Linked DNA regions of Elephas maximus indicus. The protein of the gene in region 2 interacts with the protein of the main gene of each other region in a biochemical or structural test. Links are inferred from orthologs where the notes say so. Each region holds a gene or a part of one and is shown on either strand. Other genes may lie near its edges.

Region 1 (15,602 bases), on a different chromosome or scaffold from region 2:
AGGATGTATATTCAGCCGTGGAGTGGCAGGTTGCAGGGTCTGGGCCTGGTAATTTTGAAAGAGGCTGCCACTATGTTTGAATAGTTTATAGAACCGTTCTCTCCTCATTCTTTTTTCAAAATTATCTTGACTTAATCTTGCGTAGTTATCTTTTTTTTTTTGAACATTTTCTTATGGACGTTTTAAAGCATATTCAAAACTAGAGACATTAAGATAACCTGTACTTAGCTGTCACCCAGCTTCACCAGTTTCCAAAGCCCATGGCCAGTCTAGTTTCAGTGTTGCCGCTACCCCAGCCCCTGACACCGGATAATTTTGAAGCAAATCGCAGACATCGTTTCACCTGTAAAAACCTCAATATGTATCTCAAAAAGATAATGACTGAAACAACCACAGTATCATATCATTATCAACCTAAAATTAATAATAATTCCTCAGCATCATTGTATGGCCTCTTAGTATTCAAACTTCTCCAATTGTCTCTTAAATATTTGTTATTTGTTTATTTGTTTACAGTTTGTTCGAATAAGGATCCAAGGTCCACATGCTGCATCATTAAATTCCAGGTTCCCGTCCTCTTTTTTCCTCTCTGGCAACATATTTGAAGAAAAAACCAGGTTGTTTGTCTGGTAGACTGCTATCTTCGCGGTGGCTTATCGAGTTCCTCTGAGATTCCTGTGAAGTCTTGGTCAGATTCAGTTTCACTTTTGGGGGGAGACCTCTCCGCAGGAGGCATTGTGCTTTCTCAGCAGGGGGCACAGGGGGTCCGGCTGACACTCCTTTTGTGACATGAACAGCCTCGGGGCTCTATGCCCTGATCCATCAGGATGCAATTTTTACTTTCCAAATGTTCAAACATACAGGAAAGTTGAAAGAATTGCACAGTGACCACCACTGGATTCCACAATTAATATGCTGTTAAATTTGCTGCTAACTGAAAAGTTGGAGGTTTGAGTCCAGCCAGAGGCACCTCAGAAGAAAGGCCTGGTGATCTACTTTGAAAAACTCAGACATTGAGAACCCTACCGAGCACAGTTCTACTCTGATACATGTGGGGTCACCAGGAGTCGGGGTTGACTTGACAGCAAGTGGTTAAATTTGCTTTAGCATACTGCATCTCTCCATCTCTCCATTCCTCCACCCCCCTCATGTTTTGAGTGCAAATCAAAATAGGTGGATGTAATTGTTTTTAATATGGCTTTTCCCGTGAAATATCCTGCTAGAGTTTCAACAGGATTGCAAGCCCTGATGTCTTTGCAGTTTTGAGCAGTATTTCCCCACCTGAAGGGGTCCTCAGAAATTCACAAGATGAGAGGTGTCACTGTCAGGACTTGTCTGCTTAATCTTCCAACTCCCTGTGCCTCCTCGGGCAAGTCACGCCACTTTTCTGAACTTGTTGCCTCAGCTGTAAAATGGAGAAAACCAGGGGCCTCGTGGGCTTAGGGCGAGGGTTAGATATATGCTGGGCAGTGTGCTGAGCTCTGTACATGTATTAAAGTGCTCAGTGATCACACCACTCCAGAAGGGAGCACTGTGATTGCCATGTTACCATTGAGGAGATGGCAAACACGGCTCAGGCTTGAGCCCAGTCAGCCCTGTGAGCCCCGTGAGGCGGTCCCACCCCCACTGCTGTGGACAACAGGGTGCAGTTGTGAGGCCACAGACTCTGCATTAGGTCCTTGTGTGCTGGTTCAGCTCACTGGCTGCTCCTGGCATCTCTAGAAGGTCGTTTTTAGTTATCCTAGAGCTGGCTCCAACCCATGGTGACCCCATGTACAACAGAACGAAGTGTTGCCCAGACCTTCGTCATCTTTGCGGTCGGTGTGCTCAAATCCATTATTGTGGCCGCTGTGTATTTTAAGTGCCTTCCAATCTAGGGGCTCATCTTCCAGCGCTATGTCATACGATGTTCTGTTGCGATCTATAGGGTTTTCATTGGCTAATTTTCAGAAGTAGATCGCCAGGGCTTTTTTTCTAGTCTGTCTTAGGCCGAAATGCTCCACTGAAACCGGTCCACCATAGGTGACCCTGCTGGTACTTGAGATACTGGTGGTGTAGTTTCCAGCATCACAGCAACACACACAAGCCACTACAGTATGACAACCTGACTGACAGGTGGCAGTCTAGAAGGTGGGGGCTCTGGACATGCCCACTTCACAGATGAGGAAGTTCAGGGTGGGACAGTTCCAACACGGTGTGATACAATAGCAGATACTTCATATCTTTCCTGGGCTGGGGAGCACCCTCTCCTCCCACCTGTCTCAAGCTCAGACATTGGCCTTTCACGTTCTAGGGTCCTGTTTTCCCACCCAGGTGGGGCAGTCATCACTCATGTCTTCCAGAGACTTGGTGGCCACTGCCACCACACTTCTTCCTGGGCTCCCCGCTTCTCTCTTCACTCCCTCTTGGCCCAAGGGACCAAGCCCCTGGCAAGATCTACCCCCCACAGGGCAGGGTTGGGAGCAGGGAGGGCACAGACATCGCCTGTCTCCTTTGCCAAGGGACATCTGTTCTTTGTGAATCACCTATTAGGGCAACATCCCGGAGTTCACAGAAGCCTGCGAGGGTCCCACAAAAGGATTTCAGGGGTCACAAGACCCCCAACCCATGTACCAAATTTCTGTGTGTGTCCATCCAACAAATATTCATTGAGAACCTACTGTGTGCCAGACACGGTTCTAGTCACTGGGGTACAGCAGTGAGCTAGGCAAAGATTTCCGCCCTTATATTCTAGGTGGGAGAGGCATTCAAGGGGCAGTAAGAAAAAAAAAAAAGGGGTTAGTAAATTATAAGTATGTTAGAAAGTGATGAAAGAAAAAACAGTAAATTATAAATATGTTAGAAGGTGATGATTTATGGGGACAAAAGGTAAAGCCTAAGGCTGAGTGACAGTTGTAAAATGGGTGACCAGGTGTGGTGAAACGAATTCCTGTATATGGCCTTTTACCTTGGTTCTTTGAAAAAACAGCTTGAGATTTTTTTCCCCGTAAGGCCTGAGGGGTTATCTTTGTCCTAGTTTTCTACCCCAGAGGGTTTGTTACTTTTGTCCAGGTTGATTGATATTTCCTGGGTAAATTGTGAATAACTTGATTTGATACTTTTGGTCTGGTCCTGGGCTGCAGCCTGCCCTGTGATTGGTATGCACCTTGCAGGGATTTGTTGATAGACTATGCAAATGAGAGGAGGTGTAGCCTACTATGCAAATGAAGTGTCTGAGGCCTACTGAGAGGGGATTGGTCAGCTTGTGCCCACCCCCATTGGGAGGGGCCATGCCTTGAAATTGACAAGCAGTTGTGTATATAAGCAGCCAGCACCACAGAGGTTTTTGAGATAGAAGCAGGAAGAAAAGCAGCAGAGAGAAGAGACAAGGAACCTCCTAAAAGGGCTGTAACCCAGGTCAAGAGCCATAACATTAAAGACAGCAAGGGACCCAGTGGCAGGGCCAGGAGCGACAGGCCCAGCTTGGGCCCATGGCAGAGTGGGCAGTAATGGATGGCAAGGCCAAGAGGAGCCTGTCCTACCGAGAGGAGCTGAGAGAGCTGTCCTGCACTGAAGAAGGGGACTCTGCCTACATGCTTCCTGATCCTGAGTTGTAGTCTGTTACTTCCTGAATAGACCACTTAACTATGCTCTTTGAGTTCTGTGTGGCCACTGCAACAGATTATCAAGCCCAGAAGAGAAGTAGAGTGCTGTGGGAGGAGTGGTTGGTGTCAGAATCGGTAAAAAGGCTGGAGAGTGGAGGTATGTTTGGTCTCCAGCTCATAGTGATCAGCCTTGGGCTGATCTTGAATTGCATTGTCCTCCCTGAAGTTAGACAGGTTCTGATGCTGCTACTGATACTGCTACTAGTACTACTACTGCCCCCATTTTACACCTGGGAAGGCCTCACCTGAGTAGATGGAGGTGAGGGAGGAGCCATGTCCCCCCGTGTAAATATAGAGTGGTCCAGGCAGAAGGAACATCATGTGCGAAGGCCCGGAGAGGGGACTGTTCTGGGTGAGTGGTGTGGTCTTGAGGCACAGCAGAGAGGCCAGTGTGGCTGGAGCAGAAAGAGGAGAGGAAGCTGGGAGGAGCTAAGGGCAGAGGGGTCCTGAGCAAACAAAAGGAGCAGCTAGGCCCAGGCAAGGAGTCTGGAGGATGTGAAACAGAGGGAATGACGGGATTTGATTTGCCTTTTGAGTTGGTCTCTCAAGAACTGTGGCAAGCGGATCTTTTGGGGGACAGAGCAGCAGCAGAGAGACTTAGTTGGTGGGATCTCCAAGCAAGAAGGGGCGGGTGCTATGGCCTTAGGGATGGGGAAAATAGATGAATACCAGGCACGGCACTATCAAGGCCCTCAACAAGGTCTCTCTTATAGAACTGGGATAGAGGCACAGGAAGTGAGGAGGCTGGTGGAGAGCTGAGAGAGGCAGAGAAGGAGAGAGGGCAGGGCCGGGGGGAGGGGAGGGGAGGAGAAAGGGCAGAGCACTTTTCTTGGAGTGAAGAAACAAGCTGGAGGGGCAAAGGCAGGGTGCAGGACAGGGGTAAAAGCCAGTTACAAGTGGCATCTTCAAGACAGTGGCCCAGGACTCGTTCCTAAGACACCTGCCTTGGCACTGCCTGCAGGGAGTGGGAGATCCTCAAGATCTTCAAAGGTAAAGGACCTTCAGGGGCCATGGCCTTGCTCAGGGTCAGCACAGGGCCTGGCATCTAGTAAGCGCTCAATAAATGTGGGTTCTGTTCATTTTTATGGCATCTCTCATCCTAGGGGTTCCTCACTGTCACCCCCAAATTCTTTATTTGCCCCCCAGAATGTTAAAATTTCACACTAACTTCTTGAGGCTATGCTTAAAAGTCTCCCATTGTCACCCCCTTTGAAAGTTTGCCTTGAAATCCCACCTAGCGCCTCGAGGACAGTGCCCAGAGGGCCCCCCCCGCATTAACTTCCCTTTCTAAGGACCAATCACCATCTCACCCAGTTCTGAAGGAAGGTGTCTCATCACCCCCGCCTCCCCGCAGGGTCCCTGTTGGTGAAAACAAAGGAAACCAGTTGTGTTAGCACTTCCTGTGGGTTCACCTGGGAGCCAGCAGTGCAGCTAAGGTCTGCCCTGTCAGAGACTTGCCAGTGCCCAGCGACCCCACCCCCACCCCCGGGGCTTCTTGGGCCCCGCACCTGCCGAGGTAGCCCACTCTGGGGCCACAGAGAATCCCCCTGCCCCTCCCTGGGCCTGGCCACAGTGCAGCCCCTGGCTTCTGCCATCCTAACCGCCATTTCCGTTCCCTGGGTGACCTACCCACCCCCTGCACTGCTGGCACCTCATCAGGGCACCTTTTCCCCAAAGACTGACCACCATGGTGCCCTTGGCACCACTGCTCCAGGCCTGCCTGTCTCTGCTCATCCTCCTGCTGCTGGTCTGCTGCCTGCTGCCCCCAGGTGAGTGCCTAGGGTTGGGGGGACTAGTAGGTTGGGGGCGGGGAACGGAGAAAGCACAGCTGCCCACATCCTGCTGGTCTGGTTGCTGTGCGCCTTTCTGGGAACTCGAATCTGATCGGAGCTCCTCCATGTCCTCTGGAGAAAGTCGGGCTCCTTAACTGGGCTTCAGGGATCCCCACAGCCCGGTCCTCTTGTGTGACTTGTGCTACACACGCACACTCTCCATGAGCCATCAGGACCCCCAGCCCTTTGCGTATGCTATTCCCTCTGCCAGGAACACTTTTCCCTTCTACATGGCTAACTCCTATCCACCTTTCAGAGCTGGCTGTAGGTGTCTGTTCCTCCAGGAAGCCTCCTGTAACCCACTCTCTCCTTTAGGGTGGATCAGGGCCTCCCTCGGAATTCTCCCCGTTTTTTTTTCTGGTCATCTGTCTTCCCCACCAGACTGCTTCCCCTCATATCCCAGCATGAAGAGGGGGCCTGCAGAGGGGTGGGTTGGGGGATACTGGAACAGCCACCTGAGCTTCCTCATGCCCCCGCAGGTGCCCAGGGGCAGGTGTCCCCCCTGCGGGTGGAGCCCCAGAACCCAGTGGTGCCCACTGGAGGGTCGCTCCTGGTGAACTGCAGTGCTGACTGCCCGGATCCTGAAAATATCATCCTGGAGACGGCCCTGTCCAAGCAGCCAGTGGGCAGTGGACTGAGCTGGTCAGCCTTCCAGCTCAGCAATGTGACTGGTGACAGCGACATTATCTGTGCTGGGTTCTGCAATGGCTCCCAGATTAGTGGCTCTACCAGCATCACCGTGTACCGTGAGTGGACGGGGCTGGCGACTGGCAGCGGGCAGCAGTTGGGGGCTGAGTTTGCAGGAATGGACCAGGGCTCTGACCCAGGGCTGGACCTGGACGTGTGTGTGTGTGTGTGTGTGTGTGTGTGTGTGTGTGTGTGAGAAAAACAGAAAGACAAACACATACAGACATACATCTCAACCTTTTGCCAGGGGCCCAGTTGTGAAATCAATTTATTTGGGTCCCAATGAGCAATTTTTAAAACGTTATCTCATGTCTTTTATTTATTACTTTTATTCTGATGGTAGGTAAAAATTAATGTGGTTCAAAACCCAAGAAATATAAAAAGATGTAAAGTAAAAATTGTCATTTGCCTAGCACTCACTGCATATGGGCATTATCTTAAGGGCTTGACACCTATTTGTTCATTCAATCCTCACAAAAGCCCTGGGAGGTAGGTGCAGTGATAAGCCCCATTTCACAGACAGGGAAACTGAGGCTCAGTGGGGTGAAGTCACTTGCCAGTGGCAGTCCAGCATCCAAGTTTCTGCTCTTAACAGGTAGTCTTTCTTCCCAGAACTTCTATCCCTGTTACCAGTGTTTTAGACATCCTTTCAGAGTTTCTCTGCATTTTAAAAAATAGAACAGACTAGAAAATAACAGACGATGTCACACATAGTGACTACTATTTTGTGAAGGCTTTGTAAGTGAATGTAGTGTACCTGTCTGAGATTATGAATATGCCCGTGAGTTTGTGTGTGTGTGTGTCGGGATCTGTGTGGCAGTTTTTCATGTACTTACGTGTTTGTCCCTGAGCCTATGTATCTGTGTATGTCAGTATTCGTGCGTGTCCGTGTGAACGGACATATATATCTGTGTTAGTGTCTGTCTGTACGGGTGTCTGTGTCTCTGTGTTTGTGTGTGCCTACAGCTGTGTGTGCCTGTGTGTACGTGTCTATCTCTGCATGTGCTGTCTGTGAATATATATGTCTGCAGATCAGTATCTGTGTGTATGTGTCTCTGTTGTTGTTGCTGTCAGGTGCCCATGAGTCAGTGACTCTACATACAACAGAACGAAACACTTCCTGGTCTCGCGCCATCCTCAAAAGCATTGCTGTGTTTGAGCCCACTGTGACAGCCATCGAGTCAATCCATCTCCCTGAGGGTTTTCCTCTTTTTTGCTGACCCTCTACTTTACCAAGCATGATGTCCTTCTCCAGGGACAGGTCCCTCCTGATAACATGTCCAAAGTACATGAGATGAAGTCTCACCATCCTTCTTTCCAAGGAGCATTCTGGCTGTACTTCTTCCAAGACAAATTTGTTCTTCTGGCAGTCCATGGTATATTCAATATTCTTTGCCAACATCATAATTGAAAGGCAGCAATTCTTCTTCGGTCTTCTTTATTCATTGTGTAGCTTCCACATGCACATGAGGTGATTGAAAATACCACGGCTTGGGTCAGCTGCACCTTAGTCCTCATCTAAGGCTGGGTTCTCTAGAGACACAAAACCAGTGAAGTGTATAAATATATATATAGAGAGAGATTTATATCAAGGAAGTGGCTTATGTGGTTGTAGAGACTGGAATGTCCCAAGTCTGTGGGTCAGGAGGCTTCTCCTGATTCACATAGCCGCAGTGCCTGGAGAACCCAAGATTGGTAGGTCAGAGAGCAGGGCTGTTGCTCACAGGCTGTGAAGACTGACGAATCCTGAGATCGGCAGGCAAGACCACAGGTAAGATGCTAGCTTAAGTCCCAAGGACCAGAGGCCAGATGAGCAGGAGCCACCTGCAGGAGCCAGCTGCAGGATCCAGAGAGAGTAAAAGCCCACCAGAATGTCCCTTGTCAGAACGTCCACTTATATTCGATGCAGGCCACACGCCCAAGGAAACTCCCTTTCAACTGACTGCTCACAGCAGATCCCATCATGGGGGTGATCACATTATATCAAATCTCAACATGGAAGTGATCACAACATCATACGATTGCCAAACCACTGAGAATCATGGCCCAGCCAAGTTGACACACAATCTTAACCATCACAGTCCTTAAAGTAACATCTTTGCTTTTTAACACTTTAAAGAGGTCTCTTGCAGCAGATATTTCCAATGAAATACGTCCTTTGATTTCTTGACTGCTGCTTCCATGGGCATTGATTGTGGATCCCAGTAAACTGATATCCTTGACAATACTTTCTTTTTATCAAGATGTTGCTTATTGGTCCAGTTGTAAAGATTTTTGTTTTATGTTGAGGTATAATCTATACTGAAGGCTGTAGACTTTGATCTTCATCAGTGTTTCAAATCCTCATTGTGTCCTGGAACAGAAGAGTCTGAAACTTGCTCTTGAACATAGAGTAGCTAAAGCTAATGGAAGAAATGAAGTAAAAGAGATGAACAGAAGATTTCAAAGGGTGGCTTGAAAAGACAAAGTATTATAATGACATGTGCAAAGACCCAGAGTTAGAAAACCAAAAGGGAACAACACTCTCAGCATTTCTCAAGCTGAAAGAATTGATGAAAAAATTCAAGCCTTGAGTAGCAGTATTGAAGGATTCTACAGAGAAAACATTGAATTGCACAGGAAGTATCAAAAGAACATGGAAAGAATACACAGTCACTGTACCAAAATAAATTGGTTGATGTTCAACCATTTCAGGAGATAGCATATGATCAAATACCAGTAGTACAGGAGGAAGAAGTCCAAGCTGTACTGAGGGCACTGATAAAAAACAAGGATCCAGGAATTGACGGAATACCAATTGAGATGTTTCAACAAACAGATGCAGTACTGGACGTGCTCACTTGTCTATACCAAGAAATTTGAAAGGCAGCTACCTGGCCAACAGACTGGAAGAGATCTATATTTGTACCCATTCCAAAGAAAGGTAAGTCAATAGAATGCAGAAACTATCTAACAATATCATTAATATCACACCCAAGCAAAATTTTGCTGAAGATCATTCAAAGGCGGCTACAGCAGTACATCTACAGGGAACTGTCAGAAATTCAAGCCAGATTTAGAAGAGGACATGGAACGAGGGATATCATTGCTGATGTCAGATGAACCTTGGCTGAAAGCAGAGGATACCAGAAAGATGTTTTACCTACGCAAAGGCATTTGACTGTGTGGATCTTAACAAATTATGGATAATATTTTGAAGAATGGGAATTTCGAAACACTTAATTGTGCTCCAGAGGAACCTGTATATAGACCAAGAGGCAGTAGTTCGAACAGAACAAGGGGATGCTGCATGGTTTAATGTAGGGAAAGGTGTGTGTTGGGGTTGTATCTTTTCACCATACTTATTTAATCTTTATGCTGAGCAAATAATCCGAGAAGCTGGACCGTATGAAAAAGAACGTGGCATCAGGATTCGAGGAAGACTCATTAACAATCTGCAATAAGCAGATGACACAAGGGCGGTGAGGAGCGGACGGGTCATTGGCAGGGCTAGGGAGGGGGCAGTCATGAGCAGAGGGGACGAAAGTCCTGCCACCCTTTCCTGGGGCATTTTCATTGCCCCGCCTGGAATATCCTCTTGGGACATTCTGCGGCATGGGTCACCCCCCCACCCCCCAGTGACTCTGTATTCTTTCCATCTTCTTTTGATGCTTCCTGCGTAATTCAGTGTTTTCCCTGTAGAGGCCTTCAGTACTGCTACTCAAGGCTTGAATTTTTTCGTCAGTCCTTTCGGCTTGAGAAATGCTGAGAGTGTTGTTCCCTTTTGGTTTTCTAGCTCTGGGTCTTTGCACATGTCATTTCAAGCCACGCTTTGAAATCTTCTGTTCATCTCTTTCACTTCATTTCTTCCATTAGCTTTAGCTACTCTATGTTCAAGAGCAAGTTTCAGAGTCTCCTCTGACATTCATTTTGGTCTTTTCTTTCTTTCCTGTCTTTTCATTGACCTTTTGCTTTCCTCATGTATGATGTCCTTGATATCATTCCACAACTCAACTGGTCTTCTGTCATTAACGTTCAATGCATCAAATCTCTTCTCGAGATGGTCTATAAATTCAGGTGGGGTATACTCAAGGTTGTATTTTGGCTCTTGTGAGCTTGTTTTAATGTTCTTCAGCTTCAACTCGAACTTGGATATGAGCAATTGATGGTCTGTTCTACAGTTGGCTCCTGGCCTTGTTCTGACTGATGATATAGTCAATTTGATTCCTGTGTATTCCATCTGGCAAGGTCCATGTATATAGTTGTAGTTTATGTTGTTGAAAAGAGAGAGGTATTTGCAATGAAGAAGTCATTGGTCTTGTACCATTCTATCATGTCTCTGTATGTGAATGTATGTGTATGTCCATGTCAGTATCTCTGTGAATATGTCTGTGCCAGTATCTGTGTCTGTATACATGTTTTTGTACCTGTGGGGCTACTGTGTATATCTGTGTGTTTGTCTGTGTGTGTGTCCCTGTCTCTGTTCATGTGTGTGTCTGTGAAATTTGCCAGGATCATGACCTGGGAGTGGACCTGCCTGTGCATCTCTCTGCTGACACTCCCTGGGATACCTCTGTCCAGTGCTGAGCTGGAACAGTCTGTCCTGGCTCATGAGAGTCAATTGTGCTCATCCCTTCTCAACTCCGCATCAGTGTGGTAGCTTGTAATCAGCCATAGTGAGAGTATTTACACCACAGAAAATGGCAAATGCTGTAAGTCGGGGATTTCCTTCCCCCAACCCTGACAGCCCAATTACCAGCATTTCCCAGCAAACTAGAGTCCCTGGCCAGTGGTACCCAAGGTTAAGATCATACCTTCCTTGTTAAATATTCTAAAATTGTAAATATTTAGATACTAAATATTTTTCCTATCAGCCCGTCCGTGGCCTCTGTGCTTGAGTTGTCAAGTGTGAAAGTGAGATGTTCCCCAAAGGAGGCCATGGCATTTGTCTGCCATGGGCATGCAGCTGCAGCTGGGAGGAAACTGGCCTGGGGACCCTTAAGACCCCCCAGACTGTGCCAGAACACCCTGAGGAGGCCACACGTAGCAGGTGAGGTGAGAGTTTTGGGTGCCCGGAACTGATTGGGGAGGGCTGGACCAAGTTCTTCGAGTGGCGACGGCAGGGTTCTAGGCCAGGATGGAGTCCCTGGACATGACAGCAACGAGGCCAGTGGACACCTGGGTCTAGAGTTTGGGAGACCTGGGCTAGCCTGGGCTCTGCCACTTCCTGGCTGTGTTCTTGGTAAATCACCTCACCTCTCCTGGCCATCCATAAAAGGAAAAAATAGAGCAAATTTCACTAAGCTGCTATGTCGATGAAAGCGGGTGACACCTGGAATGCCTAAGGAAATCTCTAAATAGAAACTTTCTATGATTACTATGAATATCTCAAGTGATGATAAATGTTAGTCCCCTTCCTTCATGACTTTTTGTTCTTAATGGTGAGATCCTTGGGAAATAAAAATCTGACTTTTATTTTAGGGCCTGGCAAGGTGTCTAACAACACAGGAAACAATAATGACACTAACGACAATAGCAAACACACAGGTGCAGTTCTAAGCCCTCTACCTGGACTGATTCAAAGTTCACAGTTCTGTGTGGGGCCTCCCTCTGCCTCCCCCCACTCCTGGAATGGGGGCTACAGGGCCAGCTGACAAATGCCATCTCTACCCCCACAGGGCTACCGGAGCGCATGGACCTGGCGCCCCTGCCCCCCTGGCAGCCAGTGGGCGAGAACTTCACTCTGCACTGCCAGGTATGGGGCGGAGCTCCCCGGGCCAACCTCTCCATGGTGCTGTTTCGCGGGCAGGAGGAACTGGGCAGGCAGCCCGCAGTGGGGGAGCCTGCTGAGGTCACGGCCACAATGCCTGCGCGCAGGGAGGACTACGGCGCCAACTTCTCGTGCAGCACGCAACTGGACCTGCGGCCCCAGGGGCTGGGACTGTTGGAGAACAGCTCGACCTCCAGGCAGCTCCGAACCTTTGGTGAGGCGTTGGGATGCCCATAGAGAGGGCGGGTTTAGGGGGGGAGAGGGGTTCCTGTTTGGGGTGCAGAACTCCGGGGGAGGTAGGACCTCTGCCTGCGGGGTACTGGATTGCAGAGGCTTCTGGGAAGAGCTTCCCCGTAGCCACTGGAGTAGGGTGTCCCGGGATAGGGTGCCCACGGCAGCAGGGTCTTTTGAGAAAGCTGTGATCTCCGGCCAAGGGGTGGGTGTGTCCTGGGACGGGGGTGACCCATGCCGCAGAGTGTCCCGAGAAGAGGATATTCCAGGCGAGGGAATGAAAATACCCCAGGAAAGGGCTGCAGGACGTCCATGCCCTTTGCTCACACTCGCCCCTCTCCCTAGCCCTGCCAATGACCCGTCCGTTTCTCACCGCTCCTCGTATCTTGGAGGTGGGTAAAGAGACCGCTGTGAACTGCTCCTTGGATGGAGTGTTCCCGGTCTGGGAGGCCCAGGTCCACATGACGCTGGGGGACCAGATGCTGAATTCCACGGTCGTAAGCCACGGGGACGCGCTCAGGGCTACAGCCATGGCCACAGCGCGCGAGGAGCAGAAGGGCGCCCAGATTGTCTGCAAGGTGACCCTGGCAGGAGAGAGCCGGGAGACCTGGAAGAATGTGACCATCTACAGTAAGAAGGGGCGGGGCGGAGCCAGAACGGCTCAACGGGTGGAGCAGAGGTGCCCAGCCTCTGGCCTCTGTAGCCCGATGGGCGTGGCAGAAAGAGAGCAAATAGGGACTAGCTAGTTGGGGAGACCGGGCCACAGGAGCCCAAATGGAAGGAGTTGCACGTGGGCGGGGCCTGAGTAACCCGAGAAATAGAGTTTGAGCGCCCTAAATTGGGCGGGGGCTCACAGGAGTGAGAAAGTGCGAAGAGGGCGGGGCCTGAGGAGCCAAAAGGCGGGGTCTGGACAACCTGAGAAGGAAGGGGCGGTGGGGGCGGGGCTGGCCGACGGGAGGGGCATGGCCAAGAGGACTGCTGTACAATGCCCGCCCTTAGGCTTCGTGGAGCCCATTCTGAACTTGAGCGAGGCCAGCGCCTCTGAGGGTACCATGGTGACTGTGACTTGCATGGCTGGGACCCGAGTCCAAGTTATGCTGGGCGGGGCTCCGATCATGGCCCCGGGGCAGCCCGCCCAGCTCCAGCTAAACGCCACCGAGAGCGACAACGGGCGAAATTTCTCCTGCAATGCTACGCTGGAAGTGGACGGGAAAGTCCTGCACAAAAATAGAAGCGTCCAGCTAAATGTCCTGTGTGAGTTGGTCACCCTGACCTTTAATTCCCTGCTCCCCTGAACTGAAAAGACTTGACTCTCCCTTGCCCCGTTGTGCTCAGGGTGTATTAGGTGTGTCTGATCACATGGCTGTTCCACAGACGGTCCCAAGATTGACCGGACCAAATGCCCCCAGCGCTTGATGTGGAAAGATAAAACTTACCAGGTCCTGCAGTGTCAGGCAAGGGGCAACCCGGATCCCATGCTGCAGTGTTTGCAGGAAGGCTCCCGTATCAAGGTGCCCGTCGGGATCCCATTCTTCGTCAGGTTATACCATAATGGCACCTACCACTGTCAGGCCATCAGCCCGCGGGGCATAACCACCGTGGAGGTGGTGATGGAAGTTCAGGGTGAGCCGAGGCGGGGCTGTGGGTCTGGACGGGTAACTCCAGGACTGGCCAGGGCGCGTCTTCACTCCGCGCTTCTCTGCACAGATCGGAACGCCCGCTCCGTCACCATCGCCATGGTGGTGTTACTGGTCTTGAGCCTGGTGATTGTCACAGCAGCCTTACTGTACGTCTTCGGGGTGCAGAGGAGGAGAGGCAGCTACTGCGTGAAGCACGAGAGCACTTCGCTGCCTCTCACGTCTACACAGCCCGACGGGCTGCCGGGGGAGGAGCCGTCCTGAGCTGCGGGCCTCCGAGATGCCAGGCCAAAGACCACGTGGTTGCTGGCTGTATCCTAGTCCACCTCAATAAAGCCTTCAAGCTCCGGAGTCTGTGGCTTGATTCCACCGGCGCCCCGGAACTCTCCCAATGCACTGCGTGTTCTCTGAGCTGCATTGGGCGGTGGAAGGGGGCGGAGTCTATGGCGGCCAGATGGGGCTAAAAGTCAGAGAGGCGTGCTGGGCCTTAGCCAATGGGCTGAAGGAGTAGGGAGGGAGGCGGGGCTCCACCCAGCCAATCGACGGGTGCGCCCTCGTTGCCGCTCTATGCTGCTCCGCCCCGGCTCGCTGGTCCCAGAAGGCGCCGGGTTTCCCAAGATGGCGGCCGACGTGTCCGTTACTCACCGGCCCCCTCTGAGCCCAGAGGCTGAGGATGAGGCCGGCGATGCTTCGGAGCGCCGGTTTCCCGAGGAGGAGCTGCCGCCGCTAGATCCAGAGGAGATCCGGAAACGCCTGGAGCATACCGAGCGCCAGTTCCGTAACCGCCGCAAGATACTGATCCGGGGCCTCCCGGGGGACGTGACCAACCAGGTATGGGGGGGGCGCGGTGTGGGAGCGTAGCGGGAAATACCATCCTGCGCGTGCGCGGGGGGAACTGGGCGCCACCAACCTGACGTGCGTGGGGGGCGCCGGCCGGAGAGTCTAAGCGCGGTATCCAGGCAGGTTCGGGAGAGACCAAGTTCTGGATGTGGGGGGCGGCGATGGAGGAATAATCAGCATTGGGCTGAAGGAGGACGTTGCTAGGGGCGACCACAGGCTTGGGCGAGACCAAGTGACTGAATGGGGCGGGGAATGGAAGGGGGCGGGCTGCCTTGGCCGTGTTGGGGGTTCGTGAATGGGCAGCCTAGATTAGAACTTGTGGATATCGGGACGCCAGTTGCTACCTGTGCAGATTTTGCTTTGCCTCCCCCCGCCCCCCACTACCACGGGATGGCAGGGCCTCATCCCCAGAAGTTTCAGGTTTCCCTGGAGTATGCCCTTCCTATCACACACTGATGCAGTCCTCTCCGAGATAGATCCGGAAGTTCTATAAGTCCCTGGGAGCTCCCTTTCCACAAACCCTCAAGATTAGTTTGGAAGAAGGGAGTTCCTGCCACCAATCCACAGACCGGCAGGACAGGGGGCCCTGTGTTCTGTGGCGCCCCCATTGGCTGATCCTCCAGCCAGGAGTTCCCTTTCTCTCGAGGCCTAGCTGGGGCAGGCCTTCCCGATGCTCTTTGGACTCAGAGAGATGGCATTCAGTTTGCCCTACCCTGGTGGAATGAGTACTTTCTGCTCCTGTGCACTCAGGCCCACCAGCACACCTGCCACTGGCCCTCCCCTGCCCACAGGTGGGCTTGTGGCTGGTGGGGCCCTTGGAGTGTTGAGAGGGGTGTGATTTGGGGACAAACCTGGGCAGGCGCTGCTAGGCTTGGTCTGGCTTGTTTTGAAGCCATTCCTTCACCCACTGCCCACTGTCTCTCAGCTGGGAATGCACTGTCTCTCCCACGGGTGCACAGTGTGTCTGGCACAAACAGGCCCC
Region 2 (15,602 bases):
CTGTACATAGAACAACAATCAGTCATTTGGACAGAACAAGGGGATACTGTGTGGTTTAAAGTCAAGTATGCGTTGTTTTAAACTTAGGAAAGTGTGTGTCAGGGTTGTATCCCTTCACCATAACTATTCAATCTGTATGCTGAGCAAATAATCTGAGAAGCTGGCCGATATGAAGAAGAATGGGGTATCAGGATTGGAGGAAGACTCATTAATAACTTGCAATATGCAGATGACACAACTTTGCTTGCTGAAAGTGAAGAGGACTTAAAGCACTTTCTGATGAAGATCAAAGACCGCAGCCTTCAGTAGGGATCACCTCAACATAAAGAAAACAAAGATCCTCACAACTGGACCAATAAGCAACATCATGATAAACAGAAAATACTGAAGTTGTCAAGGATTTCATTTTACTTGGACCTACAATCAACACCCATGGAAGCAGCAGTCAAGAAGTCAAAAGACACATTGCATTGGGTAAATCTGCTGCAAAAGACCTCTTTAAAAGTGTTAAAAAGCAAAGATGTCACCTTGAAGGTTAAGGTGCACCTGACCCAAGCCATAGTGTTTTCAATTGCCTCTTTTGCTTGTGGAAGCTGGACAATGAATAAGGAAGACTGAAGAAGAATTGAGGCCTTTGAATTATGGTGTTGGTGAAGAATATTAAATATACCGTGGACTGCCAAAAGAACAAACGAATCTGTCTTGGAAGAAGTACAGCCAGAATGTTCCTTATAAGCAAGGATGGAGAGACTAAAGTCGCACATACTGTGGACATGTTATCAGGAGGGATCATTCCCTGGAGAGGAACATCGTGCTTGGTAAAGTAGAGGGTCAGCGAAAAAGAGGAAGACCCTGAAGGAAATGCAATGACACAGTGGCTGCAACAATGGGCTCAAGCATAACAAAGATTGTGAGGATGGCACAGGGCTGGGGAGTGTTTTGTTCTGTTGTACACAGGGGTGCTATGAGTTGGAAGCAACTCGATGGCACCTAACAACAAGAACAACCAATTTCAGTCCCCTCACCAGAGGTGTATCAATTCACTGTGCATCTTCCCCCTTTTCTGGGAACTTACAAATATATCTGTAAACACACAGATATTTTGATTTATAAATGGGATTATGCTACTCATATTGTTCTGTGGGAAACACTGGTGGCATAGTGGTTAAGTGCTACAGCTGCTAATCAGAAGGTCAGCAGTTTTAATCCACCAGGCCCTCCTTGGAAACTCTATGGAGTAGTTCTGCTCTGTCCTATAGGGTCGCTATGAATCTGAATCGACTAGATGGCAACGGGGTTTTATTGTTCTGTGACTTGATATTAGATCAAAAGCCTCTCTTGAGTATGGCCCTTTTAGCTCAGTAACGAAGTCACTCCTGAGGTTCACCCTTCAGCCAAAGATTAAACAGGCCCATAAAACAAAAGGAGACTAAGGCGGCACACCAGCCCAGGGGCAAGGACTAGAAGGCAGGAAGTGACAGGAAAGCTGCTAATAAGGAACCCAAGTTCGAGAATAGAGAACACTGACAGGTTTTGGGGTTGGTAAGCAATGTCACAAAGCAATATGTATACTAACTGTTTAATGAGAAGCTAGTTTGTCCTTTAAACCTTCATCTCAAGTACAATTAAAAAAAAACTCTTCATGGCAGCTTATTCTTTTAGAAGGCTGAAAGCATCTCCTTGTATTGATGTACCATAGTGTATTCCCTAAGGAACTTATCTCATTATTATAGTACTGTAGTGAATGTCCTTGTAAATGCCTCTTCGTACACAGTAGAATGTTTCTGTAAGGCACATTGGGAGCAGAGCTGGCACTGTGTGTGTGTGTGTGTGTGTGTGTTCTGAGTGAAGAGAGAGAGAGAAAAGAGAAGGCTCTATTCCATTCCATTGGTCTTGTCTCCTAACAGGGGAGAACTTAAGGCAGTGTGAGGGGCAACTTGGTCCCTCTGAAAATCTGGACAGACACAAGTTTGTCAGATTGAAAATGAGAATGGCAGATCCTTTTTTTCCTGTGGCCTAGCTGAGCAACCTGTCCTGAGTGCCAAAGATATGCCTGGAAGTGTCCTGGGCTCCTTTGGGATGGAACACAAAGTATGATCCCTTTCTGGGAACAGCCATAGCCCAGCCTGGAATAAAGGAAAAAAAAAAAGTGGCAGTTGAGAAGACAGGGTGTGGAAAGGAGGCCAGATGAACATTGCAGACTGCGGGTACTACAGGAGCTGGGGGGAGGCAGAGAGCACAAGGAGAGCAGGAGAAATCAAGAGAGGACTTCATGCAGGAGTGGGGGCCCAAGAGGACCAGAGACAAGAGCAAGCACACAGTGCTGGGTGAGGTGACAGTAACCTGGATAGAAGGTCTGTGCTGAGGAGCCGTGGGATGAAGAGAAGGCTAGAAAGTTAAGTGTGCATACGTGTGCGTATGTGTGCGCGTGCGCGCATACGTTGGGGAGGTGAGTCACCTGACAATGCTGAGAACAGGTGGAGGCTGTGTTTTTGAAGATCACTGGTGACCATGCAGAGGGCACTCTGGAGGCAGGAAAACCAATGAGGAGACTGTTACAACAGTCCGGGACAAGAGACAGAGATGGCTGACCTAGGGCATTGACAGTGGAGGCAGGAGGGAGAGAAACTGTGAAGGACAGATAGACAGTAGAGATTGGTGACCAAATGGCAGGCATCAGGCAGAGGAGAGTTAAGGATGATGGCAATGTGCACACAAAGGACCACACTAACAGCAAAACCACCAACAGATACACAGCCATTGAGGAGAGCTCACGGCAAGGAAGAGGAGTGAGTTCATCCCTTGCAGAGCCTCACATACAACCTGGCACCTAACAGGCACTCCATCACTGCTAGATGCACGGGTGGGATGGACAGATGGATAGGTTCCTTCTAGGTGTATTGAGTTTGCACTATGAGCAGTTCATGGAGGGACCCTGTGCTCAAGGGGGCTGTTTTCCTTCTGGGCCCTGCATGCAGACATACTACGTGTGTAGTCACTGGTATGAGGGGGTAGGCCTAGGGACTAGCGACTTGATTGGGAGACTAGGAGACCCTCTCTGTGGGACTAATTTCACATTCCAAGAGGACATTGACTCAAACTGAATTGATATCGGCTGGCTGGGGGAAGCTCTTGAAAAGCTTTCAACTTTATTACAGGAAAAGACAGAGAAATTCTCTCCCCTCTTACTATGGTCCATTAGTATATTATTAATACTAAATATTCATGTAACCAAAAAAATCAAACCCATTGCAGTCAAGTTGATTCTGACTGATAGCAACCCTATAGGACAGGGTAAAACTGCCCCATAGGGTTTCCAAGGAGCAGCTGGTGGATTTGAACTGCTGGCCTTTGGCTTATTAGCAGCCAAGCTCTTAAACACTGCGCCACCAAGGATCCTAAGGCATTTGATATTGGCAAGATGCCTTATCATTGCTGTTTATTATTACCCACTCACTATCTCAAGCTGTCTAGTCTGACCATTAAGGCGCAGGAGTGATACAAATCGGAAAATATATTTCCTTCCTTGGGTTTGCCTGGTCACAGGTCAGAGCTGAGAAGGTCACAGGTTCAGGCTGATGGAAAGAAGGTGGACTTTGGACTCACAACACCTGGGCCCAAATCCCTGTCCCACCATCAATGAATCATGAGACTCTTGGATAAGTCACTTCACTCCTCAGTGCCTCAGTGTCCTTATTCCTACTTCCAAAGTTTCTTGTTAGGGTTAAATGAAGCTAGATATTGAAATAGCCTCCCCACTGTTTTCGGTACATTAATGTTATCTTCTTTCCTTTTACCCAAACCCTAGCTTCTGTTCTCAAGAAGTGCATAGAAGACTGAAGACGGTTAAAAGCAAGATAACTCCACTGCTGCAGTTTGTATTTTCAGCCATACTGTGCCAAGAGGCAGCCTCTTCCCTTTGGGAAGAGAGCAGTATATTCTTCTGCCTAGTCTCTTGTTTGTGTAAGGGGAACAGCTTGCCAAGTGTTTGGGCTCTGACACATGGGAAGGAAGAGATAGAAGACCTTGAAGTGTGTGACATCAAGCTGGTGTTTGTCCTCATTTCTCCCTGTCACATTTGTCTTTTCTATGAATGGAGAAGAGCAATCTTAGAGACTTAGTTAATTTCATTCCTAAGGATCAACCAAAAGCCCTGAGTGAAGCAGAAGAGATCTAAATTAGATGTAAGGAAGGACTTACCAACTGTGATGGAAATGAAAAGAGGCCCTCAGCAAGTCCTGAGTGATAGATGTACCCCTAGTCCACTTCCTTGGGGTATGTCTGCCATACTCTTACCATTCAATGGATTGGGTGGGGAATGCCTTTATCCAAAGTACCCCAGGAGTGCTTTCCATCTAGTTGCTCTCTGATATTGCTCTCCAGCACTGCATCCTCTGAAGGAGGAATGCCATTTAGAATGCAGAAGCTTCTGTATCGCAGTGAGTGCAGATCTCGGGTGGGAATGATATATGGGGAGGTGATTACAAGTCCAATATCATTTCTCTCTAGTGCTTGCATACATAGGTTGTCACATAAATCAGCCATATGCGGTTCTTTCTTGTCATTACCATGACTTTTACTCCCAGACTTACTTAGCTCCAGAATAATCCCCAAGAAATCCTTGGCCTTTCAATCTGGTTCTCATATTTGGCCATAAAGTTCAGGCCAAATCTCCTCTTTTAGCCCCTACTCTTGATCTGGATGTTCCCAGCTTCCTTGAACTCCAGCTGCAAAATGTCCCTGTACCACCCTCTGCTCATCCTGTCTCTCACCTAGCTCTACCACTTGAAAAAGACTTGCCTGCCCCTCCTTGAATTCTCTGAATTCAACTCTTCTAAAAACTCAAGTCTCCTCATACCTTATTTCCCTCTCCCAGGGAAACCAACCTTTGTGGGGATGTTTAGCCTGTTACTATCTCTTCTCTCTACAAACACTGGCATAAATCTCATCATATCTATACCCAGTTGTGGAGATTACTCTGGCCCCAGGAAGATTGAGCTACTTCTCAAACCACCTAAGATCAGAATAGTGGGTGGGAGGAAATCAGAAGTTCTGGCTGCATAGACACGGAATGGTTTACAAAGAGGCGGGAAACAAAGATGTGCTTCCCTGGCAATCTTGAACAAGGGAGCACCTCAGCTACCTTTGGTCTGCTTTGGAGGCAGGCGCATAACTGAGATGGGTCCCTCCTAGCCAGAGAGTTCCATGTCTAACCTCTAAGCAATGACCAGCTGTTTGACCATAATCACCATAACTAGCTTGTATCTGGCTCTAGCCCTTATAATTTCTTGCTTCAACTATTACAACAGCTTCTTACTGAGCTCTTTGCATCCTCTATTATCCTCTGACTCCATTCTATACACTAGTTGCTTGACCTAGTGTAAGCCCTTTCTGTTTTCTGATCTTCAGTTCCCCCAACCTGAAGGGGGCTAACCTAACCAGTTTCAGATAGTCTATGCTCTCTCCTTCCCCATTTCCCACCCATGTCCTCCCTAGGGGCTGAAATCCCACCAACCTCCCTCAGCCTTCTTTCCCCCTACTTGCTTCCCTAGCTCCTTCACCCTCTGACCTGTTCCTCCCAGCCCAAACTTCTGTGGTCCCCTTTCCCTTTAAACAGTGTACTTAGCTTCCTGACACTCCCTAACTAGCTCCTGTGTATGTGTGGGGGCAGTTGACATGGGAGGTGAGAAATGACACACAGAGGGTTTCTACCTTCCAGACTGGATAAAGGAAGTTGGAATCTCCAACTTCCCCTTCCCCTTTAGGCATTCAACCTAGCTAGTGTCAAGCCCCTGTGGGTTCTAAGTGAACATGAATAAGGGAATCAGTGAGTTCTTTGAACTTCTAGGAAGAAAGAACCATGGTGGTGTCAAGGAATGTGATTGGCTGCCACTGCTACCCCTGCTGCTGAGGCTTTCCAGGGAGTGCTGCTCTTCCTCTGGACAAACTGCTCAGCTCAATAAGGCCTCTTGGGTGGAGTGCTTTGTTTGCCATAACCCGTTGCCTTGGAGTTGACTCTCACTCATAGCAACCCAATAGGACAGAGTAGAACTGCCCCATAGGTTTTCCAAGGAGCAGCTGGTGGATTCGAACTGCAGGCCTTTTGGTTAACAGCTGAGCTCTTAACCACTCCACCACCAGGGCTCCTTGCCTGCCCTAGGACATATCAATGAAAGAAACCGAGGCACATTAACTCATGGACACTTTTGAGCTTGGGTGAGGGGGAGGAAAATAGGACTGCTGGTTCCTGAGTACAAATACAAGGCCAGCCCATATGCAGCCCTGCTAGGCTCATCTATGTTCTAGAGTGTCTACTTCCTCTCTCACCCTTTTAAAACGTCAGGATGGGAAAGGATCTTGGAAGCCTAGGAGTCCAGCCGTTTATTATTACAGAAGGGGAATCTCAAGTTGAGAGGGGAAGGAACTTGCCCAAGTCCATTCAGTGGTCAAAGAGTGAGTTAATGGCAGAACCACAACAAGAAATCAGGTATTCTGACACACCCTCCCCACTCAAATATCTTTTCCACTGTCCGAAGCTGGCTCCCTTCACTATCCCTCAAGTGTCCTAACTCACAAAGAATACTGAGACCATGCTTCCATAAGGTTGCCATGGATAGGAGAAAAAGGGACTATGACCAATCACTTTCAAACCACAACTCAGAATTAAACAGATAATTGCTACAGCCTAGAACACTGCCACCCTGAGATTCTGTGACCTTGACAAGAAGTAGAAAGAAAGCTGGCAGTCACACCCCAAGGGCGTGGACTAGGGGTGCATCTAACTTGGGGAATTATAGCCTCATCAGAAAGTGAATGTGTTTGTACCGGGGAGGGGCTGAAGGATCCACACAGATTTGAGGCAAGTGAGAACTGGGATTTGGTGGAAGGAAAGTGAGTAGAGGATATGGAGGAGCCTAATTCTGATGAAAATGAGGACTGAGCAAGGGTAGGGAGGAAATATGGTGGAAGAAGGGATATAGAGTCCTACAGAAGAAATGGACGAAGGGTTGAAGGAGCTGGGGCTGTTTAGCCAAGAGAAGTTTCAGGGGGGCCTGGGATCCATCTTCAGACCTCTGAGGAGTTGTTACTTACCCTAGGAGCTCCTTGGAAACCCTGTGGGGCAGTTCTACTCTGTCCTACAAGGTCGCTATGTGTTGGAATCGACTCCTAGGCAACAGGTTTGGTTTTTGGTTTTTTTTCCTTAGGGAACAGCACGGGGGGGGGGGTGGGTATGTACTCAGGGAGCAAGAGCTGAGATCCACTGGTGGCAGCCACATAGAAAAGGAGCTCATATACACAAAAGGAAGAACTTTCCAAGAGGGCTGTCTTAAGAGGGAACAGGCTATCTTGAGTTCCTCATCAGTGGAAAGTTGCGGCCAGGAACAGCAGAAGCATCTGCCAGGGCACAGCCCAGGGTCCTGCCCTGCGTGGGGGTGGGGCTAGTTGGCCCTGACGCAAAGGGCTAGGGGCTGTAAGCGGGGGTGGGGAAGGAGCGGGGATGAGAGCTCCCTTTGGGCTGCTCGGGCCTAGCCCGGCCTCCCACGTGGCCAGTGTGGCATTGCTGGGCAGGGCTGGGTTGGGTGGGGCGAGGCCAGCGGCTCGCGGGGAGGCGGGCGCAAGGGCGGGGAGCGGCGCGGAAGCCCGGCCACATAAAGGAGCTGGCGGCGCGACGGGGGCGGCTCTTTCCTGGGTGGGGTTTGTGAAGTCGTGGCCCGTTAGCAGGAAGCCGAGCAATCGCCCTGACGCTAGAGAGGGACCCAGTCCGAGCGCTTGGCCCCCGAGCCTGAGCAGTGTGTATTGCGTGCCCAGCGCTGCCCGACAGCTCCCAGCCAAACTTCGCCAACTCCGCCGCTTTATCCACCACCATGCCCAGGACGGTGAGTGCCAGGGGTGGGTGCTTCCGGCCCCGGGGGCTCTAGCCGGCCCCCGTGGTCCCTTGCTGATGACCAGTAGCTTGGCTAGTCACCCGCCCACCTGAAATGCTGGGACCTAAGCCAAGGCCCAGGGTGGGGAGGAGGCGGGAATGGGGTCCTTGTCTGGTGTGCCCTGTGGGTGAGAGGGTCCCTTGGGCTAGAAGTGTGGGCAGGATGGGGCCGGCCTCTTTCTCAGGTTCCAAGTCTCTGCGTTGGTGATGCAGCAGTGGGGAAGACTTCGTTGGGGGCCCGGGGTCTCCCTTTGCCCAAGATGGGCTGTGAAGACAGGAGAGGACTCTGGTATGGAAGGGAACACTTCTCTCAGCTCAGGAATTGGCGCCTTTCTGGGGCAAGGCTGCTATTGTCCTAGAGGAGCCATGGGAATAGAGGAGGGAAAAGGGAGGGAACTGCTCAGGGCAGGTCCTGCACCCTCTCTCACCTTTCCCACAGCCTCCCTAGGCAGCTCCAGATGTTTCCCACCAGGAGAGGAGGAAAGAGTTGTGGAGGAATTCATAGCGGTTGCTCTCTTTTACCCAAAAGCACCAACACTTCACTAGGAAAAAATTTTCTTTTTGTTTTTGCTCTCTTTTACCCAAAAGCACCAACACTTCACTAGGAACCAGTCTGAGGAGAGAACTGCCCCACCTTCTGGGGGAGAAGACTAGTTTCTCCCTTCTCCCCACCAGCCAAATCCTTGTCTTCCTATTACTTAATGCCCCCTTCTCCTCTCCTATCCCCTCAGGACCATCCTGTGAGTGCCTTCTAGACATTCTGTGAGGTGTGAGTTCTCTCTTGTAGGACCACACCTTTTTAGAGTAGTGGTTGCCTCTGGGATCTGTCTCCACCCCACAGGCTGTTAGGTGAAGAGCAGAAGCCTTCTGGGAGTAAGGCCTAGTGGGGCCCGGATGCCCAGGAGGAGGGGGTGGGGAGGGGTATGCCTGACTAATGAGCCCTGCTTGCTTTTGTGCAAGTCACGCCAAATGGCTGCTGGGGCCTTTCCCTTGCTCGGGCAGGCCTGGTTTGAGTCCCTTAGTCCAAGCAGCTTGTTAGGTTATGCAGAGAGCTCCTGATCCCCCTCCCTAGGACTGCCAAAGCCTTGTAGAGTGGAAATAGTGGCTAGTAGCCTTAAGAAGGGCTAAGGGCCCCTGAGATGAGAAAAGTTGAGTGTGGGGCCTAGTTCTCTGGGTGTATGCTGAGCTTCAGTTGCCACGTCGCTGTGTTCCAGTCTCACTGCCAAGTCTTTCTTGGCTTTCCAGAACCCTGCCTTTCAGAAACATCAAGTTTTCAGCACGTATAGGTTTTCACCATCTCTCTCTTTTAAATTGCTGTTGGTTTTACCACTTGAGGCTTTCCCACACTGTCTTCCCAACACCCTTCCTGCAACAAGTGAGAGAGAGTGGTTTTAGAGGGGTTGGTGTAACACTGTCTTTGCCAACACAGAGGATTATAAAGATTCTTCCAGGAGCCTCTCTTTAGTCTTACCTCTCTGTGGTTGACTCCTTGAATCCTCTTAAGGTGTGGCTTTGACTGAACAGTTGGGTGGATCTCTGGGAATAGTCAGCCCCATGACTTCTCTTCCCTAGTGACGTCTTTCGTCCTTAATTCTGAGATATGCCACCCTTAAACAGAACTTGATGGGCCTGGAAGTTGCTTCAAAGTTGCCTTAACCATCCCATCTTAGTCAAAAGTGGCAAAGAATACAACATGGTGATTCTTCTCATGGGTATGAAGAGATACTGGAGTATGGGGTCACTCCCAGGGTATTGAAGATGCCTGAATACTAAAGGTATTTTTTATGCAGACTAACTGAAACTTGAATCATATTGAAGGAGAGGGCTGAATTTTGATACTGGAAGCACAAGAATTTTCCATGCTGTTTGGTTCAAAGAATGGTCAACTTTTAGGAGAAACAACTCCTAAACATGCCTGTTAAGACCATAAATTTTAATCTGAAAGGAACCTGAGAGACTATTTATCAACCCCCTACGCTGACCCACTGATTGGGTTCTTGAAGTCTGAGTCCTCTCTCATGCCCAAAGCAAATTGTCCCCTGTTTTCAGGCCTTTATGGTCCTCAGATTAAAGGAAGTTGGTAATTTGGGCAAAGTGACCAAAGTTAGAATTTCTGTGGTCTCCTGGTAAAGTTGGGAGTGTCACAAGGTGTCTTCTGTTACTTTTCTCATTCCTCATCCCAATGCTGGAATGTCCAGGGGCACACCCTAGTCCAATGCATACCAGCTAGTAACTTTAATGAAAGGGGAAAAATTCCCTATTCTCCACCTCTTCTTCAGTGGTGTGTTTTAGGCTATTTCTGGATTATGACAGATAGGGAAGGGTAGTGGAAAATCAAACTCATTCATTCATATGAATGATGTCTACAGACTATCCAGGGTTGGTTTCACTTTTACGGCCAATTGTCTCTCCTAGTCTGCCCAAACCAAACAAAACAAACCTGTGGCCGTCGAGTCAATTGCGACTTGTAGTGACCCTATATAGGACAGAGTAGAACTAACTGCCCCACAGGGTTGCCAAGGAACCCAGCTGGTGGATTCCAACTGCTGACCTTTTGGTTAATGGCTGAGCTCTTTAACCACTGTGCTACCAGGGCTCCTCTAATCTGCCCAGCCTTTCTTAAATCTGTTAAAACATCCTCTCCCCTGACCCACTCATTTGTGGACTCTGCTTCTGGATGCCAGTTTCCTCAGTCTGCTTTAGTAGCTGGAATGGAGGAGCTTATTAATTGCCATCTGTACTTTATAGTGATGATTAGACAGTTCTAGAAAAGGTCTTACCCCCTTCCTACCCTCTGTAATTTTTTTAAGCTCACAAAGGTTTTGGGGCTGTCCTGGATTCCCTAAAAAGAGATTGTTTTGAAATTTTGAGATGTTCTTGAGTTTTTGGTTTCCCTCTTTAGGATTTATGAAATGTCAGAGTTGAAAGGGCTCTTTACAACTATCAAGTCCAAAACTCTCTCATTTTATAATGGAGAAACTGAGACCCACAGATAGTAAGGGACTGACCTAGAGCCACATAGAAAGTTAGTGTCAAAGTTAGGACTTGAATCCAGATCTTAATAAGAGAGTCAATCTCAGTAAAACCTCTTCAGTTTGCTGGGTTTTCAGCCCTAGCTTAACAAATCAGGGGAAAGGTGTTCAAGTGGTCATTTTCTAGGACTGTTCATGTGAGCAAACATAGAGCCCAGCTCCTTGAAGTATTTGAAGGCTTCTGAGTCTGCATTCAGCTAAAGTTTAACAGGGGCTGTGTGGACTGTTTATTGTGCTGCCATTCCTAGCATTGCTTGAGCCACTCGAATGGCACTGAAGTGGCACTTGGTGAATAGGAGGTAGACTCTCATACTGTTAACCCTTGAACCAGTTCTGCCTGCAGCCTTCAGGGGTGGGGTGAGAGATCAGGAATGGAAGTTGTGTGTGAGAGAAACTTTTTGGATCCTGCATCTCCACTTCTTTGGATCCATAGCCTACTTGACCCTTTGTGAAAGCACAGATGACAGACAAAATGCAGGAACCATCTTGGAGATTTTCTTTAGGCTTCTCCTTGAACATATCTCTAAGCAGACAGGAGCTGGTGGAGCAGGAGGGCCTATGGGACACTCGAAGACACCAACTAATCTATACTCTCTCTTGTTAGGCTTAGAGAGGAGAAGGTTGTTCGGTGAGTCCGTGACAGAGGTTGACCCCTGTTCTGCTAACTTTCCATTATTCTCTAGGTGCCTGTAACAGTAGCTTGTTTTAACAGTGTTATTCTTACTTCTCCCTGGCCTCATCCTCTTGGGAGATTGCTTTACTGAGTGGTGGAGCTGGAAAGAATATTAGAGGTCATCTGGTCTATCCCCCTTCCTCCAAATCTAATTCTTTCTGGATGAGATGAGATGACGGCTATAATTATTTTGAACTCTGTTCTGATAGTGTTGCTTGGTGATATTCTGTCTAGGTTCCTTTGTATCTCCCTGAGAGTCCCTCTGCTCACTGGAATTTCTGGACTCAGGGTCCCCAGAGGGGAGAGGACCTAGCTACCAACACCACCAGGGTTTGGCCTATCATGACCACAGTTGCTGAAAGTTGGTGTCATTACAGGTTGAGAACAGTCTGTTTCTGATCTTTCAAAGACAGAACTGAATTTATCATGTGCTTCTCTTCCAACCTACAGTCTTCTGTCCCCACTGCCCCACCCTACTCTTCCACCTCAGAAAAACAGACAGAAAAAAAAAGTACAAAGGTGGTCTCCTTTTGGGCAGTCTATTGGTCAAGTGAAGGGAGTGGTCTTGTCATGACTGACTAGTTTCGCTGTTCATCCTTCCTTCCATTTCATGCTTGATAGAGCTGAAAAACTTCAATCCAAGTTCTAATTTGTGATACAGGAGCTATCACTTGGAGGGTTAGCTCAGGACTCCATTAATTTGAAAGATGGATGTTGGGAAATGGAAAGTAAACTGAACTGAGAATATATCTTCTCTTTCCATCTAACCCTTCCATGTATGAATTATTTTCCACTTGTGATTTTCTTTTGATTTTTTGTTTTTTCATGAATGGAATGCATGCTGAATCATCGAGTGTGTCTGAATTTTTGGTAGGTAATGTGGATTTTGAATAATATTATGTGGAAACACACATGTTCCCCTGCACTATGGGGGTAGGTTATGTGTGATTATGTGGGACACATATGTCCCTCTAGTCTCCGGGGGTAGGATGGTGGTATGAGAAATACAATTTCCAGATAACACACAGGAACCTGGAAATATACTTACAAGGCTTATCTCACTGTAAAACAGCCAAAAGAGGCAAAAGTTTTGCACAGTCACACCTCCAGGATGCACCTCCTAATACAATACCCTGTAAAAACAGTAATTTGCAGTACACACACGTTTCTTCTGTTTCAAACAGTTAATACACGTCCCTGCCTGGTGGCAGCACACACTGAAAGTGGGAAAGCAACTTCCCAAGAAATCTGAGAGGCAGAAAATATAGATGAGAAAACTGTCCCATTACTCACGAAAGGGATAAGAAGATCATCTTTTTTGTCCTCAGGAAAGTTTTCCAAATGAAGTGAGCCTTTAGGCAAGTCCTTTCTTCAGGACTGAACTGATGATAGAGCTGGGACTAAAATCCAAGTTGTCTGGCCTCAGTGTAGGGGAAGAACTGAATGCCTGCCTTCTAAATGACACTCATTGACGAGGACTCTGTGTTTTCTCCCTCTATGCCGGGGTGACTTGACCATGGTGTAATTATGGGCATGGGAAGAGCAAGTGTGTAGAGCTGACCTCACAGGCTGCCTTATATGGAGATGGTTCAGGTTCTGATCATGCTGTGGGGGCTCTTTGTGGCACTTCCCAGGAAGGTGAGTGTTCTGCTTTGGCTGTGAAGGGTGGTGGGAGGCAGATGTGTGTGCTGAAGGGAGGTGGGGAAAGGTGACTAGCCACATTTTCCTGCTTGAGAGCAGGCCTCACTGCCTTAATATGCTTTATGGAAGAGAGTAAATTTTTCTCCTTATACTAGCCAGAGGGGTCAGGAATCTTGTTTGGGTTTGCATAAAGTTGGTAATAGCATTGAAAGTAGAACTAGGCTTTCCTAGTTTCCAAGTTAGTGCTCTCCCACTGGGCATGACTGCCTTGGAAGAATGACTCTTTACCCAGGTGACGCAGATTTCCAGAGAATTGGCTCTGTGTTGATTACGTTAACAAAATGGCTGCAATGGAGTTCCCCTAAATAGCTTCTGGTGTAGCAGGTTTCAGTGAGTCAATGACTCAGTTCTTCTGGGGCCTCAGAATGACTGTTTTCTCTTCCTGCCCCTCCACCCAAATTCCCCGCTTTCTTGTTGTCCTTTTTAATTTTGAGCTCTGACCTTGTATTCTGGTTCAGTGCTCCAGCTTGACCTGCTCTTTGAGTTAGGAGAACATTATGGTACTTGTCTTTCCAATTTGGTGATAACATTTGCTGCTGTAAGCAGCTATTTGAATACAGACTGGTGTCTCCTGGCTTCAGCCCTCACCACTCACCTCTAGGTGCTTGTAGGCCAAGCCTGCAGCAGGTAAAAAATGAAAACAAAATTCATTGCCATGGTGTCAATTCTGATTCATGGCGACCTCATGTTTTACAGAGTAGAAGCGAGCTCCATAAGGTTTTCTTGGCTGTTAATTTTTATGGAAACAGATCGTCAGGCCTTTCTTCTGTGGAGCTGCTGGGTGGGTTTGAACTGCCAACCTTTCAGTTAGTACTGCCAACTCTTTAAGCGCAAACTGCTTGTGCCACCCAGGGACCTTTTCTTGGGATGTGGTTAGGCCTTCATAGAAAGATAGTATAGACTAGTGGTGACTGTGGAACCAGACTGCCTATGTTGAAATCCCAGCTCTGCGACCAACTAATTGTGTGGCCTTGGGCAATTTACTTAATTTCTGTGCTGCATTTTCCTCAGCTGTAAAGTGGGATAATAATAGTACCTATCTCATAGGGTTGTTGTGAGGATTAAATGAGGCAATGCACGTAAAGTGATTTTTTTTTAATCTCATAGGGTTGTTGTGAGGATTAAATGAGGCAATGCACGTAAAGTGATTAGAACTGTGCCTAGCATTTAATATGTGCTATTTTTTTTATAATAAGTTAGTTGTTGTAATTATCTATTGAACTACTGTATGCCCAACCCTGTGCTGGGTGGGAGGGTAAGAAGGAAGGTAAGCAGTTATATTCTCACTATTTGTTGAGTGGTTACTATTTACTGTAAGGTATATAAATAAATGAATGAAGGATATAATTGCTACCTTCAAAGACCTCCTATTTATTTGGAGATTTAGGACTGCCTCACTTAACAGTTTAAGAAAAAGATATGTTTCAGATGCCATTTTATATAGGTTTTGAGAGAAAAGGGGTTTAATGGGATGTGAACAGAGCCTTGAAGGATGGGTACACTTGGAACAGTGAACATTTTAGGTGAGAGAGTGATGTCGTTGGTATGTAGGCATAAACCAAGTAGCTTTCTTGAAAGTGAACTTGTCTAAAATGAGGGAAGGCTTGAGGTGCTGACCGTTTCAAGGAAGCCACAGAAAAGTACATGTGAACACTGATCAAGTTGTTTTTTCTGGGGATAGTTGGAGCCAATAGTGCTTTCATATTTAGCACAAACTTCTGAAGGGATCTGTGGAGTTGACTACCTTGGGCTTCCCAGAATTGGGTGAATTAACTAAAAACTGCTACTATCTTTGTTTTCCAAGTAGGTATGTGAGAGGCTACTTCCTTCATGTTTCCATGTGAACTAAACCAAGGAACAGAGCTTGATTGATGATGACTCTCTTTAGCACAGCAGCCTAAAAATAGCTTTTAGTTCTCCTAATGGCTTTGGTATGAGATCAATTTGTCTTAAAAAAAGTTTTTTTTTTATGGCATTGGGGTTTTTTTATGTGGGAAAGGGTAGGTGTGAGAGGAGGGTTTCTTCATGTGTGGTTGTGATGGGTTGAAGAGTGTGGAATTTTCTTGCTGGGGTTCAGCTCAGCATCTGGACTTTGAACTTGGGGAAGGGGCCTCTTGGGTGACTTTCAAAGCATAGCCCTTTGGCTGTGCCCAATGACAGACACCAGATTTGACGTTCCTTTCAGTGGGCTTGTAGCATAAAGTAAGTGTTGATATAGCTCCTAGGCCACTGGCATAGTTAATGGTTCTGTGCTTGTGCAGCAGTACTGTTT

Evidence for each region.
Region 1: the proteins of MSN (region 2) and ICAM3 form a complex in vitro, tested with the Homo sapiens proteins (2 studies listed by BioGRID). The link is inferred for Elephas maximus indicus from reciprocal best matches to the Homo sapiens genes MSN and ICAM3.

What each region holds. Positions count from the first base shown.
Region 1 is NC_064821.1:28,435,383-28,450,984, reverse strand, and holds ICAM3 (intercellular adhesion molecule 3), read left to right. Parts: upstream 1-4,486; 5' UTR 4,487-5,331; coding exon 5,332-5,413; intron 5,414-5,955; coding exon 5,956-6,222; intron 6,223-6,228; exon of another isoform or gene 6,229-11,080; coding exon of another isoform or gene 11,081-11,192; intron 11,193-11,596; exon of another isoform or gene 11,597-11,623; coding exon 11,624-11,689; exon of another isoform or gene 11,690-11,820; coding exon 11,821-12,126; exon of another isoform or gene 12,127-12,488; coding exon 12,489-12,773; exon of another isoform or gene 12,774-13,142; coding exon 13,143-13,397; intron 13,398-13,517; coding exon 13,518-13,766; intron 13,767-13,850; coding exon 13,851-14,044; downstream 14,045-15,602. Other genes in the region: RAVER1 (ribonucleoprotein PTB-binding 1), read left to right, coding at 14,348-14,611. UniProt on the Homo sapiens protein: ICAM proteins are ligands for the leukocyte adhesion protein LFA-1 (integrin alpha-L/beta-2). ICAM3 is also a ligand for integrin alpha-D/beta-2. In association with integrin alpha-L/beta-2, contributes to apoptotic neutrophil phagocytosis by macrophages.
Region 2 is NC_064846.1:108,665,281-108,680,882, forward strand, and holds the start of MSN (moesin), read left to right. Parts: upstream 1-7,657; 5' UTR 7,658-7,865; coding exon 7,866-7,877; intron 7,878-15,602. UniProt on the Homo sapiens protein: Ezrin-radixin-moesin (ERM) family protein that connects the actin cytoskeleton to the plasma membrane and thereby regulates the structure and function of specific domains of the cell cortex.